Linked DNA regions of Caenorhabditis elegans. The protein of the gene in region 1 interacts with the protein of each later gene in a pairwise test. Each region holds a gene or a part of one and is shown in the gene's direction. Other genes may lie near its edges.

What was found.
Region 2: the proteins of F27C8.2 (region 1) and rbm-5 interact in a two-hybrid assay, tested with the Caenorhabditis elegans proteins (one large-scale study listed by BioGRID).

What each region holds. Positions count from the first base shown.
Region 1 is NC_003282.8:9,594,728-9,599,597, forward strand, and holds F27C8.2 (N-acetyltransferase domain-containing protein), read left to right. Parts: upstream 1-1,628; 5' UTR 1,629-2,420; coding exon 2,421-2,621; intron 2,622-2,673; coding exon 2,674-2,794; intron 2,795-2,845; coding exon 2,846-3,007; intron 3,008-3,057; coding exon 3,058-3,164; intron 3,165-3,211; coding exon 3,212-3,376; intron 3,377-3,496; coding exon 3,497-3,643; intron 3,644-3,709; coding exon 3,710-3,952; 3' UTR 3,953-4,360; downstream 4,361-4,870. Other genes in the region: F27C8.3 (T2SSG domain-containing protein), read right to left, coding at 829-873, 926-1,126; aat-1 (Large neutral amino acids transporter small subunit 1), read right to left, coding at 4,707-4,768, 4,834-4,870.
Region 2 is NC_003279.8:6,214,134-6,220,435, forward strand, and holds rbm-5 (RNA-binding protein 5), read left to right. Parts: upstream 1-1,639; 5' UTR 1,640-1,657; coding exon 1,658-1,714; intron 1,715-1,785; coding exon 1,786-1,854; intron 1,855-1,925; coding exon 1,926-2,035; intron 2,036-2,162; coding exon of another isoform or gene 2,163-2,225; coding exon 2,226-2,458; coding exon of another isoform or gene 2,459-2,484; exon of another isoform or gene 2,485-2,544; coding exon 2,545-2,660; exon of another isoform or gene 2,661-2,989; coding exon 2,990-3,121; intron 3,122-3,169; coding exon 3,170-3,319; intron 3,320-3,366; coding exon 3,367-3,471; intron 3,472-3,517; coding exon 3,518-3,635; intron 3,636-3,684; coding exon 3,685-3,891; intron 3,892-3,934; coding exon 3,935-4,051; intron 4,052-4,096; coding exon 4,097-4,176; intron 4,177-4,219; coding exon 4,220-4,382; intron 4,383-4,430; coding exon 4,431-4,793; intron 4,794-4,842; coding exon 4,843-5,123; intron 5,124-5,182; coding exon 5,183-5,516; intron 5,517-5,561; coding exon 5,562-5,704; 3' UTR 5,705-5,779; downstream 5,780-6,302. Other genes in the region: fars-1 (phenylalanine--tRNA ligase), read right to left, coding at 1-83, 180-290, 387-442; T08B2.15 (Activin_recp domain-containing protein), read left to right, coding at 532-594, 639-749, 792-911, 954-1,043, 1,093-1,137; rps-17 (Small ribosomal subunit protein eS17), read right to left, coding at 6,016-6,072, 6,235-6,302.

The sequences.
Region 1 (4,870 bases):
TAACGTATCAGTGATCCGAAACAAAACGACCGAGGGGTAGACAAGATGAGAGAGTACTGATTCTTTCTTCTTTTGCTCATCCGGAGGGGGGGGGGGGGCAATCCACGTCGAAGGTCGAGAAGTTCACGTAGTTGGTGTAAAGCGTTCTCCTTTATTGATTGGCGCGTTTATCGAGAATCTTGGTAGTTGTGTCGGGGTGACGCGTCGTCCTGATGATGTGTGAGGTGTGTCGAGCCTTGTTGTTAGTCTTTTATAGTTTAATTATAGTTAAGTCGAGTAAATGAGAGTTCATTGCTCTCCGTATTCGCGACATGTATGGCAATATCTTCAAATTTGTTTCTCCTGAAATGTGTGTTTTTAATGTTCAAAGTTTGACCATTTAATATCTTTCTGTCCTGAACTTTTACATTATGAAAATACCAACACAAACAATTTGATCGGCACACTTCTGTGGCAGAGCTCTTTACCGTGATCTGTGGAATGTGTGATAAGCCCCTTTTCCGGTGGTGCGACGTTTTTTAAAATCTCTGTAATTGATAACTTTTGCACTTCAAACTTATCATGCGAGGGTTTATTTTTTAATAGATCAATCGACCTGGAAACAGAAATATAAACTTTTTTTTTGAAAAGTTCAGAAAGGAAATATTTATATTTTTCAAAACGTGAAAACAAAACTTTCATAGTCTTCAGGTTATTTAATATTCCATTAAAAGTTGAACTCTCCAACGTGTTACCCTAATCCAAATCTTCCCACATCTCCTATCCCCACAATGACTTCAGCTTCCCATCGTTGTTTTCAAATAGTCTTTGATACAGCAGAAAACTACTTTAATCTACAAGAAATTCATTTCGATACCACATTTCATTTGCCATCTGGAACATATTATACTTGAATGCATAAAGTTGAAACTTAAAACAAACGTACCTCTCTCCATTCTTCGTTTCCTCCCCATGATAACTTAAACCAGTATCCATTTTTGGTATATCTACCAATCCATGGATCCCCTGCATTTTTTGGGAATCCTTTGTTCACAGCAGATTTCATCGGGTACGGAAACCCAGTTATTGGATTCATTCTATCGATTAAAGAATCAATAGATTCAAGATCAGATTCGGAAGGCCACATATTTATAAAAATATAGTAGAAAATATTCTACAAGTTGAATAGAAATCAATGAAATGGCACTCCAAGAATTGAACCTAATTAAATTTAATTAGCTAGGAATGGGGTGGAAACTGTTTTAGATAGAAGGCAATTCAAACTAACAGTAGGAAACAACAATATGAAGATAGAAGGCGACTCGTCATCGAGAATTTAGTATACATATGCATTCCGTATTAAAATGGAAATCAGTTTTCAAAATGTATCACATATATTTTAAAAGTTCACAACAACATTAGAACCAGCCAATATTCTATCTGTATTTGGTTTTGTGTTCCTTTCAAGGTTTTTGCAACATAAAGATGTGATGCTTCTGATGCTTTGTATTGTATATTGTTACGTTGTAGTACTATTATTGAGTAGTATTCGAGAGCGGATTCTAATGCACCTGACAGCTTTGAATGAGGAGGAGGGGAGTAAATGTGGGAGTCAAGAATTGGTGAGACATACGTTTTAAACAAGTTAACATAGTATTTAGTGGAACCACAGGGGAAGGATTTTAAGATCTGTTTTGCCCTTGTAAGAAGTGCAAGGAAAGAAGTTCTATTGATATGCGATTAGAACGACAATCTATCATCGGTGATAAGCCCGAGGTCTCTAACAGAGGAACTGGAGATGATGGGTAGGATGTCAATATTGAAATTATGCCTAGGATTTTGTGTTCCTATGTGGAGTAGTGACGTTTTGGTGGGAGCAAGCGGTAACTGATTTTTTAATTTTTCACTCTTTTCTAATGACACGATTCATATGGAATCGTATTGAAATAAATAAATAAATAAATTTGATGTACAGTGCCGGCCAAGGTGTTTAATACTCTTAGGTTTTTTTTGGAAAATGCTATAGGCTGAAATTCCATGGGTTCGCCTTTGACCAAAATATGTCAAGTTGTTCGTTAAAAAGAGTTTGTTCAATTTTCTAATATTTATGTTGCAAAAACCTTGAAAGGAACACAAAACCAAATACAGATAGAATATTGGCTGGTTCTAATGTTGTTGTGAACTTTTAAAATATATGTGATACATTTTGAAAACTGATTTCCATTTTAATACGGAATGCATATGTATACTAAATTCTCGATGACGAGTCGCCTTCTATCTTCATATTGTTGTTTCCTACTGTTAGTTTGAATTGCCTTCTATCTAATACAGTTTCCACCCCATTCCTAGCTAATTAAATTTAATTAGGTTCAATTCTTGGAGTGTCATTTCATTGATTTCTATTCAACTTGTAGAATATTTTCTACTATATTTTTATAAATATGTGGCCTTCCGAATCTGATCTTGAATCTATTGATTCTTTAATCGATAGAATGAATCCAATAACTGGGTTTCCGTACCCGATGAAATCTGCTGTGAACAAAGGATTCCCAAAAAATGCAGGGGATCCATGGATTGGTAGATATACCAAAAATGGATACTGGTTTAAGTTATCATGGGGAGGAAACGAAGAATGGAGAGAGGTACGTTTGTTTTAAGTTTCAACTTTATGCATTCAAGTATAATATGTTCCAGATGGCAAATGAAATGTGGTATCGAAATGAATTTCTTGTAGATTCAAGTAGTTTTCTGCTGTATCAAAGACTATTTGAAAACAACGATGGGAAGCTCAAACTTCTCACCGCAAAAAACATTCGTCAGTAAACTTATGAAAATTATTAAAATGTTCTCAATTACTTTCTTGTAGGTGGTGAAGTTTTGGGTCTCGTTTTACTTTCTGAAAGTAGTTCATATCGATTCTCTACTATTGGTCCAATATTTGTACAAGAAGACTTTCGTCATATTGGAATTGGATCAATCCTGATGGAAGAAATACTCAAAAACACAGATAATATTGTTTTCAACGCGAGTAAGTCATTCTACATAATACACTCTGAAAGTAATCTTGAATTGTTAAAGTTTCGTATCTTCTACCAACTGTCAACAAATTCAATTTGCAACAAAGGACCATGAGAAAATTAGGAAGAGTTCGAGTGAAGAACTCAAGCGGATTTGCTAATTTAAAGGTTTTTAAATTCTGATGGTAAACTACATACATTACAAATGCTTACAGGACAAAAAATCTGGAATATCTCTTAATTTCGGTTCAGACAACACTGAAGATCAATGGGAAAGGATCAGAGAATTTGGAGAAGAATGTACAAATGAAAGAAGAAATTGGAAAGCATTCTCCGAAAAAAGCGATGAAAATTGTCAAATTGTCGCCGCATTTGATGAGGTTTGTGGGTCATTGCTACATTGCCGGATGTTAAATAAAATAATTTTGCATGCAATATTTTGAAAATTCGTATTTTTGGAAACAATATTTGCAAAACAATTATATCTGTGAAATTTTTAGAACACAGGAAGCTGCGTCGGAATTTCAATTCTTCGTGAAATTCAAAATGAAGATGGCCACATCCCTGACTTATTAATTGCTCCACTTCACGCAAAGTCTACAGCAATTGCTGAAATATTACTACAAAAATCATTGAAAAAGCATTATGTAAGTTTTCAATCATTTCAAGACTTCAAACTGCAATGATTACTTACTGACAATAATTTTTTCCAGAATCCCGAAGACGACTATGACTTTGATGTGGACCATCTTGCAATTTATCGTCGTTCTGTTAACTTTTTTATCTTTTCAAATTGTGAATCATTAATGTTTCCGTTACTGAAAAAATTAACTGGAAATGATGGAAGCATGGTCAAAGATCGAATTTATTTTCAAACTTGTTCCAATTTTCAGTTACCGGCAATTAATCATGATATGATTTTTGCAGCTTCTGATCCAACTGTTTTTCTATGTTAAATGGTGTAATTCCATTGTTGACACCACTAAACATTCAAAAAAAAATTCTGTTTCACCTTTCCCATAAGTACCAACAATGTATTGTTACGATAGTATGTGAAGTTTTGGTGTTACACAATATTCAAATGTTTTCTGATTCATTATTTGTTAGTATAGCCAAGTATTAAACTCTCCCATTCGAATTTTAAAATATTTCTGATCAATTTCTTCAAAAAACGAAAATTCGGAAAAATATATATATACTGTTTCAACTTTTCAATAAGTGCCAACAGTTTTAGATTTTTTTAGTGTGTCAGTTTTATTGTGGAATTTTTATTTGCATATAATTATATCAATGTATTGAACATTTCTGCAGATACAAAGCTGTGAAGTTACAAAGCTATCCACCATAAAATGCATTACTTGTTTAAATTATTTTTCTCTTTTCAGAAAACAGCTAACTTTGATACTATTTTCTTGAAAGGAACTCAATTGCTGTTTGAATAAACATTTCAGAATAATCACTGAAATAAATTTATTTCACGATATTTCACGAAAAATTAAAAGAAAAAAGAGAATTAAAGCCTCGTCGAAACTGTGAATGTATTTTTTGTGTTTGATTGAATTTAATGATAAAATGATGATGTTCGGATGACAAAGTGAAACAAAAACGCAGATAAAAAGAATACTGGTGGATTGTGGAAGTTTTGAAAAATTGAATTTTGACAAATGAAATAAAAAGAAACCCGAGACCGAAAGTTGAACTTTAGAAATTCTAATCCTCCTTATCCTCGTCGACAACCATGAATAGCTTTTGAATGAAAACAGTTGAGCTGTCTGAAATACGGTACAATTGACAAGTTGAAAATGAAGAAAAAAAACATTTGTTGAAAATTACTTACCAATGAATTCATTGAACCATTTTGGCTTGTTTTTCCA
Region 2 (6,302 bases), on another chromosome or scaffold:
TGAATTCATTCGATTCTTGAAGGAAATCGAGGATTTGTTGGGGTAGGTTCTCCGTTGATCGGACATCAGTTTCAGCAGTCATTCTAAAAAAAATAATTATGTAAACTTGAGTAAAATGTGAAGTTAAAACTAAGAAACAGTAAGAAATCAATGAAAGAAGCTAGATATGGATATCTTACTCAAAAGATGATAAATGCTGAAACCAGCGTTCCAAATGCTCTCGCCCTTTCAATTCTTTTTCTGTTATCGAAGCTCTCGCAGAGAAATCGGCGGCCGATGGTTGCACGAACCTTCAATTTTTACTTTTTAGAACAAACCTCTAAATACTAGTTTTACAAGCACATCACACGTTTAATACAATACTCATGCAATTTACAAAAATTCACCCTTCAATGTATGGTTGATCTTGTAGAATTTGGTTGAGACGATCCGGATCGGTCATCCGAAAAAAAACTGAATTTGAAATATTGAAATTTTGCGTGACATGAGATCAGGCATTACGAATAAGAAAATGGGTATATTTCATTTAAAATGTGGAGTTTTGTATTGTGTCTGTTAATTTGTTTCGAATATTCGTATCAGTGGCGTGAATATGTGAATAATCGAGTTAGAAATTACTGGAAAACTATGATTTTCAGAAAGCTTTCGAGTGTTATCACATTTCGGAGCCAGTGGAAAATATTCTCAATGGACAATTCAATCTAGAACGACAAAAATGCTATGGCACTGAAGGTTCTTCGCTATTCAATGTGAGAGTTTTAACGATTCATAATCAAATTAACTTGTAACAGGCTTGCAAGACAGATATAATTGATGGAATTGTCTACAGTGGATGTATGAACACTACACACTGGCGAACAAATTTTCTTTGCTCTCCTACGTCCAACAAACGAGAATTTATTAACAATTTGGTAACGCCTCAGGCATTTAATTTCATATTCCTGTGATTTCAGGACACAAATGGAATTTTTATATTCGATGAAATAAAATCGTGTTGTTGTCGAGACACTCTATGCAATAATGCGAACTACTTGAAAGTCATGGTAAAAACTAAAAAAGGGAGGACTCTTTAGGTTTCGACTAAATTTTCAGAAAAACAAGTACTCTTCGACAAAATCAATTTTTTTGATCAATTAGTTACTGATGGTCTGATTGTGTTCAGCTTTTTTGCAGTTGTATTGTTTGTCCTTATGATAGAGATAATTTGCAGAGAGGTATGAATTTAAATGGAGCTTTTTACAATAAAACAAAAGTTTTTCAGCCAATTATTGGAAGAATAGACACGCGGCAGTATATAATGGAAGCAAAGTAACTTAAAAATCATTTTATATTTGAAAAAGAATATGGAAATTTCAGGAAAACTATAAGAGACGTTCCTGAAAATGAAGAAATGAAATAATGTCACTCGTAAACCTACACCGCTCTTTCTCTTCCATGCGAGACCTGTCAAGCGTCCGATTCCTACGCGCCTTTAAGAGTGATGTCCGAAAACATTCGCTCTCCGTTTTTTCATCGATTCTTCTTGGTTTCACACGTTTTATTGCAATGCAAAATGTTTTATATTATATTTGTTTTTGAATAAATCATTCTAGAACTACAAAATGTGTTAAATATAACTTTAAAATATCTGAAAATTTATAGAAAATTTCAAGTGAACATGCTACCTTTTGTGTTCAACGCTGATGATGACGGGAAAAGGGTTCAAAATGAGGAGGTAAAAAAATAAATTAAACGTGGAGTATAACTATGTTTCTATACTGGTTGCCATCAAATTCAAATTTCCAGGGTAACTATGATCCTACCGACCATCAGCGCCAAATGGAAGACTATTACAAACAATACGAAGAACAGAGGGTTTGTGATCTGAGAATACGACTTGCAGAAAAATTCAAACTTTTAAAATTAATGTTAATTTTGTTCTAAAGCAGGTTGCCAATTCGTTTCACAACACCACTGGAAGACCTGATTTGGTTGCAATGCAAGCACGTCTAGCAGAAACCGAACAAGCGATCCACCGGCTGAATGAAGAAAAAAAGTAAGGAGCTTTATCGACGACTGAACGCTAAAATGTCTTTATTATATTTAATCAGATCCGTTTTTTTACATATTTTTCGAATTATCTGACAAGTTATTAATTATTGATTAAATTAAAAATAATCCAGACAACCAATCTTCAACCAGCCGCCTCCCGTCATTCAAACTCGGCCAGTTTTTCCGGATTTCAGACAACCCCCACCAGGATTTCCTATAATGACGACACCGGCAACGCAACCAGAAATTTCTATACCTCGTTCTGGAGAAAATAAAAGCTCTCGGTCACCTTCGTGGGCGCGTGAAGCAAGACGTTCTCGTTCCAGGAGCCGCGATAGACGCGGAGGTAGAAGCAGAAGCAGATCACCATCTAGACGTCGAACTAGTCGTGATCGCCGAGATGACCGCAGCAGCCGTCGTAGAAGAGGTCCTATTATCAACCAACTGAGCTGAAATTTGGCTGAATTTATACTCCTATTTAGTTCTGGAGATTAATTCTCGATGAGATTGTAGATCGAAGTCACTCGCGAAGCCGTTCACCACCTTCGTCTGCAAATGGTTCCTCTCATTGGTCGTCGTCAAACCGCCACTCCAGACGACGACGCTCCAGAAGCTACAGCAGAGAAAGGGTAGGTGAAAAAATAGAGAAAGGGTAGTCATTTATGGTGTTTACTTGTGAGTATGGTTTTGTCTATGGGCATATGAAATCTGTTCTCCAAAATATTCTAAATTCTTGAAAATTGCGCTCTTAAGATTTCGTAATTTGTTGATATCCGTGAGGTTTGACAAGCTTGATAAAAATTGTTTGTCGAAAAATTTGAATTTATCCATTTGAACACTTTTAAATTTCAGGTCGATGGCGATGTTACCTTCTTTCAAAAGGTTTTCAATCAGTTACACAATATGATACCTCAAATTAAAACTAGTAAAATATTGAAGTAATTAAGTTTTTTTTCAGGATAGAAACTCGCGTCGCGATGATCGCCGCAGCAATCTTTCAAATAATGATCGATATTCGGATTGGAATCCTGGAGTTCCATCAAATAAACTCGCAATTTTGAATATGCCAAATGATGTGGACAACACGAAGGTATAGTTTTCTCGGCTGAAATTTCAGAAAAAAAAAAAGATTTTTCAGATAACACTTTCATTGGGAAAATGTGGATACCTTCCTCAAGACGTGCGCACCATGACAAAATTCGATAAAAATACAAAACAAATTCGTACTTTTGCTTTTGTTGAGTTCTCTAATCGAGAAACTGCAGAACAGTGGATGACGGATTACGAGGTACAAAACGGTTTTCAGTTGAATTATATGCAAAATCCGCTTTTCAGGGATGGTTGACTCTGGATGACGGAAGAACTCTGGCTGTAGAATATGCGAAGGGAGATCCTGCTGCTGGATCCGGAAACAAAGGGGATGATTGGATTTGTGCTCATGTACGCGAGAAAATTGAGCTATTATCAAAATATGAACAAATTTCAGTGCTCTATGAACAATTTTGTAAAGCGTCAAACCTGCTTCAAGTGTGAAATTTCAAAGGATCAGTCAATGGAGCTTGAGAAACTCGGAGCACATATGGTCGGAATGACACCTTGCGACAGTCCGTGAAATTTCTTTAGTTGTCATACACATTCAAATTGATTTTTCAGCTCTTCTAATTCGTGGTCTTCCTGATGGTATCAATAATAGTCTTATTTTTGATAGTCTCGGTGCTCTGGTTTGTCTCAGTTCGATTAGCATGATCAAATTGTCGGAATCCAAAAGGTTTGCGTACTTGCAAATGAAAAGTGCGGATGAAGCAAAAATGTTACTCAATTTGACATATAAATCGCCCATTCGAATTAAGGATAAAGATGGTATGTTTTTTGCTGATTTCAAGATTTTACCATATTTTTTCAGTTCAAGTTTCCTGGTGTCGTGATTCAATGTCAAAACTCATTCAACAACAAATGACCATGCTAACCGCGGGACCTGGAAAGAATTCTGTGGCTACCGGAAGTCTGGCTCAAGGAAACAGTGAGTTTGATGGGAGAGAATATATTAAATTTTATAATTTTTTAGTGACTGGAGCTGAAATTGCTGCAGCTGCCCTTTCTAAAGCAAATGCTGTGCGCCAAGCTAGTCAACAAGTTGGTCAAATTGTAAGTTACATTTCTAATAGAAAATTCTAAAACTCTATTTCAGATGACTGGATTGCCTGCACCTGCTGCTAATATGATTCCTCCAAACTTCAGTGTTCCACCACCAAATTTGTCTGTTCCACCTCCAATGCAAGCCACTCAACCGGAACATCAAAATGGAGTCATTGGAATGACCCAGACTCCGAAAGGACTTTTGCCAAGATACTGTATGGAAAAGCTCAAATATTAATTTTCAATTATTATTAACATTTCAGTACCACCCAATCCGCTTACATTCGCTCATGATCCGAATCTTGGGTATTACGTAGATCCAATCACAAAATTCTGTTACGATTCAGCAACTGGTTATTATTTCAATAATGCAACTTCACAATGGTGTAATTGGGATCTTACTCATCATACTTATTTCCCAGTTGAAACCCCAGCTGTAATCAATTCAGCTGACCCCGAAGAGGAAAAGATGAAGAAAAACGAAGAAGGGCCAAAAACAGCTCAGGATTTAGTGAAAGATATGGCAAAATGGGCTAAGAGACAAGAAAAAGACAAAAAGAAAGTTCAAATTTCTATAAAAGGAAAAGAGACGAAAGGAATTGAATTGAAAAATGTATTTTCTAATGGTAATGGCCTTTATTTTAACTATTTTCTTTTTATCAATAACATTTTCAGAGAAACAGAAAAGAATAGCACAGACTGCAGCACTTTTTGATGATGACGAAGAAGAGGATCAAGAGGAAGAAGTTCGGGGTCGTCGTTCTGAAGAACCGTCTACTTCATCCTCATTTTCATCTGTTCCACTTGCTCCTCGGAAATCCACTCTTCAAGATGTTAGAGATGCTATGGAAAGAGCACTTTACGATGAAACGAAGAAAACATGTATGCTCTGCAAACGAGCATTCTCTGATGTTGAAGTACTTCGGAAACATGTTGAAAAAAGTGATTTGCATAGAGTATGTTTAAAAGTTATTTCCTTGTTCTTAGACAGGAATCTTAGTTAAAGTTTTTTTAGAACAATTTGGAAGCGAAGCGAGCCGAATGGGGACGAGAAACAGCTGCTAAATTACAAGAAGAAGAAGAAGATGCTTCAGCTCCAGATCTCCCTAAGATCGTTTACAGGGACAGAGCCAAAGAACGTCGTCGTCAGTTCGGGATTGATTCCACTGGTTATGCATTCGATGTGATGGGTGGGCCGCCAGGACCCACATCGGTGAGACATGAAGAGACCATCCGAAAAGTTAGTGAGGAAGCTTCGAAGCGCCCATTAGACGAATCAAACATCGGAAATAGACTGCTGAAAAGTATGGGCTGGAAAGAAGGACAAGGAGTTGGAAAGCATGCACAAGGTAAATCTACATTGCTTACAAGCTTGATATTATGGTTTTTCTCAGGTATTGTTAACCCGATTGAAGCTGAACGATTTGTTCAAGGAGCAGGTTTGGGTGCTGCTGGATCCAAAATGAGACATGGTGCAGAAGCGAGTCACAAAGAGAAGACGCGGCAAGCACTCTACAGTCGTTATCACGACGCTTAAGTTCCTAAAGTTTATGTTTCGCCTTCAGTGTACTATTTGTTTTCCGTTAAATAAAATAAAATCTAATAGCCTACGAATTAGTTTTTCTTCACAATAAGAACATTTTTTCAACAACTGGATGAACTCATCCACTCTAATACGACAAAGAGACCACTAATCAAATCAGGTTTAACACCATTAGACGATTCATCCAGGAATGACATCAAGTCTCGATATATCTGGAAATTGATCAGCTATGTAAAAAGAACACATTTTGGCAGATTAAATATTTATTATCCACCACAACAATAACAATTAAACACAGGGAATATTTACTTTCCCTTGTTCTTTCCTTGATCCTCAACGGTGACGTTTGGAAGGTTGAATCCCTGAAATGACGAGGATTTTATTTTAAATATTTTCCGTCCGGTAACGCCTCGACATACCGAACTGAAACACTCGAACGAGCGTTTTGGATAGGGAAAGCCTGAAAACCGGCAAAGCAGCTTTCAGGACTCCCATAACTGAATCTTAATTTTTTGAAAACTTACAGCGGCCTTGAGCATGTCGCTGGTATCAGTGTCAACCTTGATGGAGGTGAGTTGAGATGGATCAACAG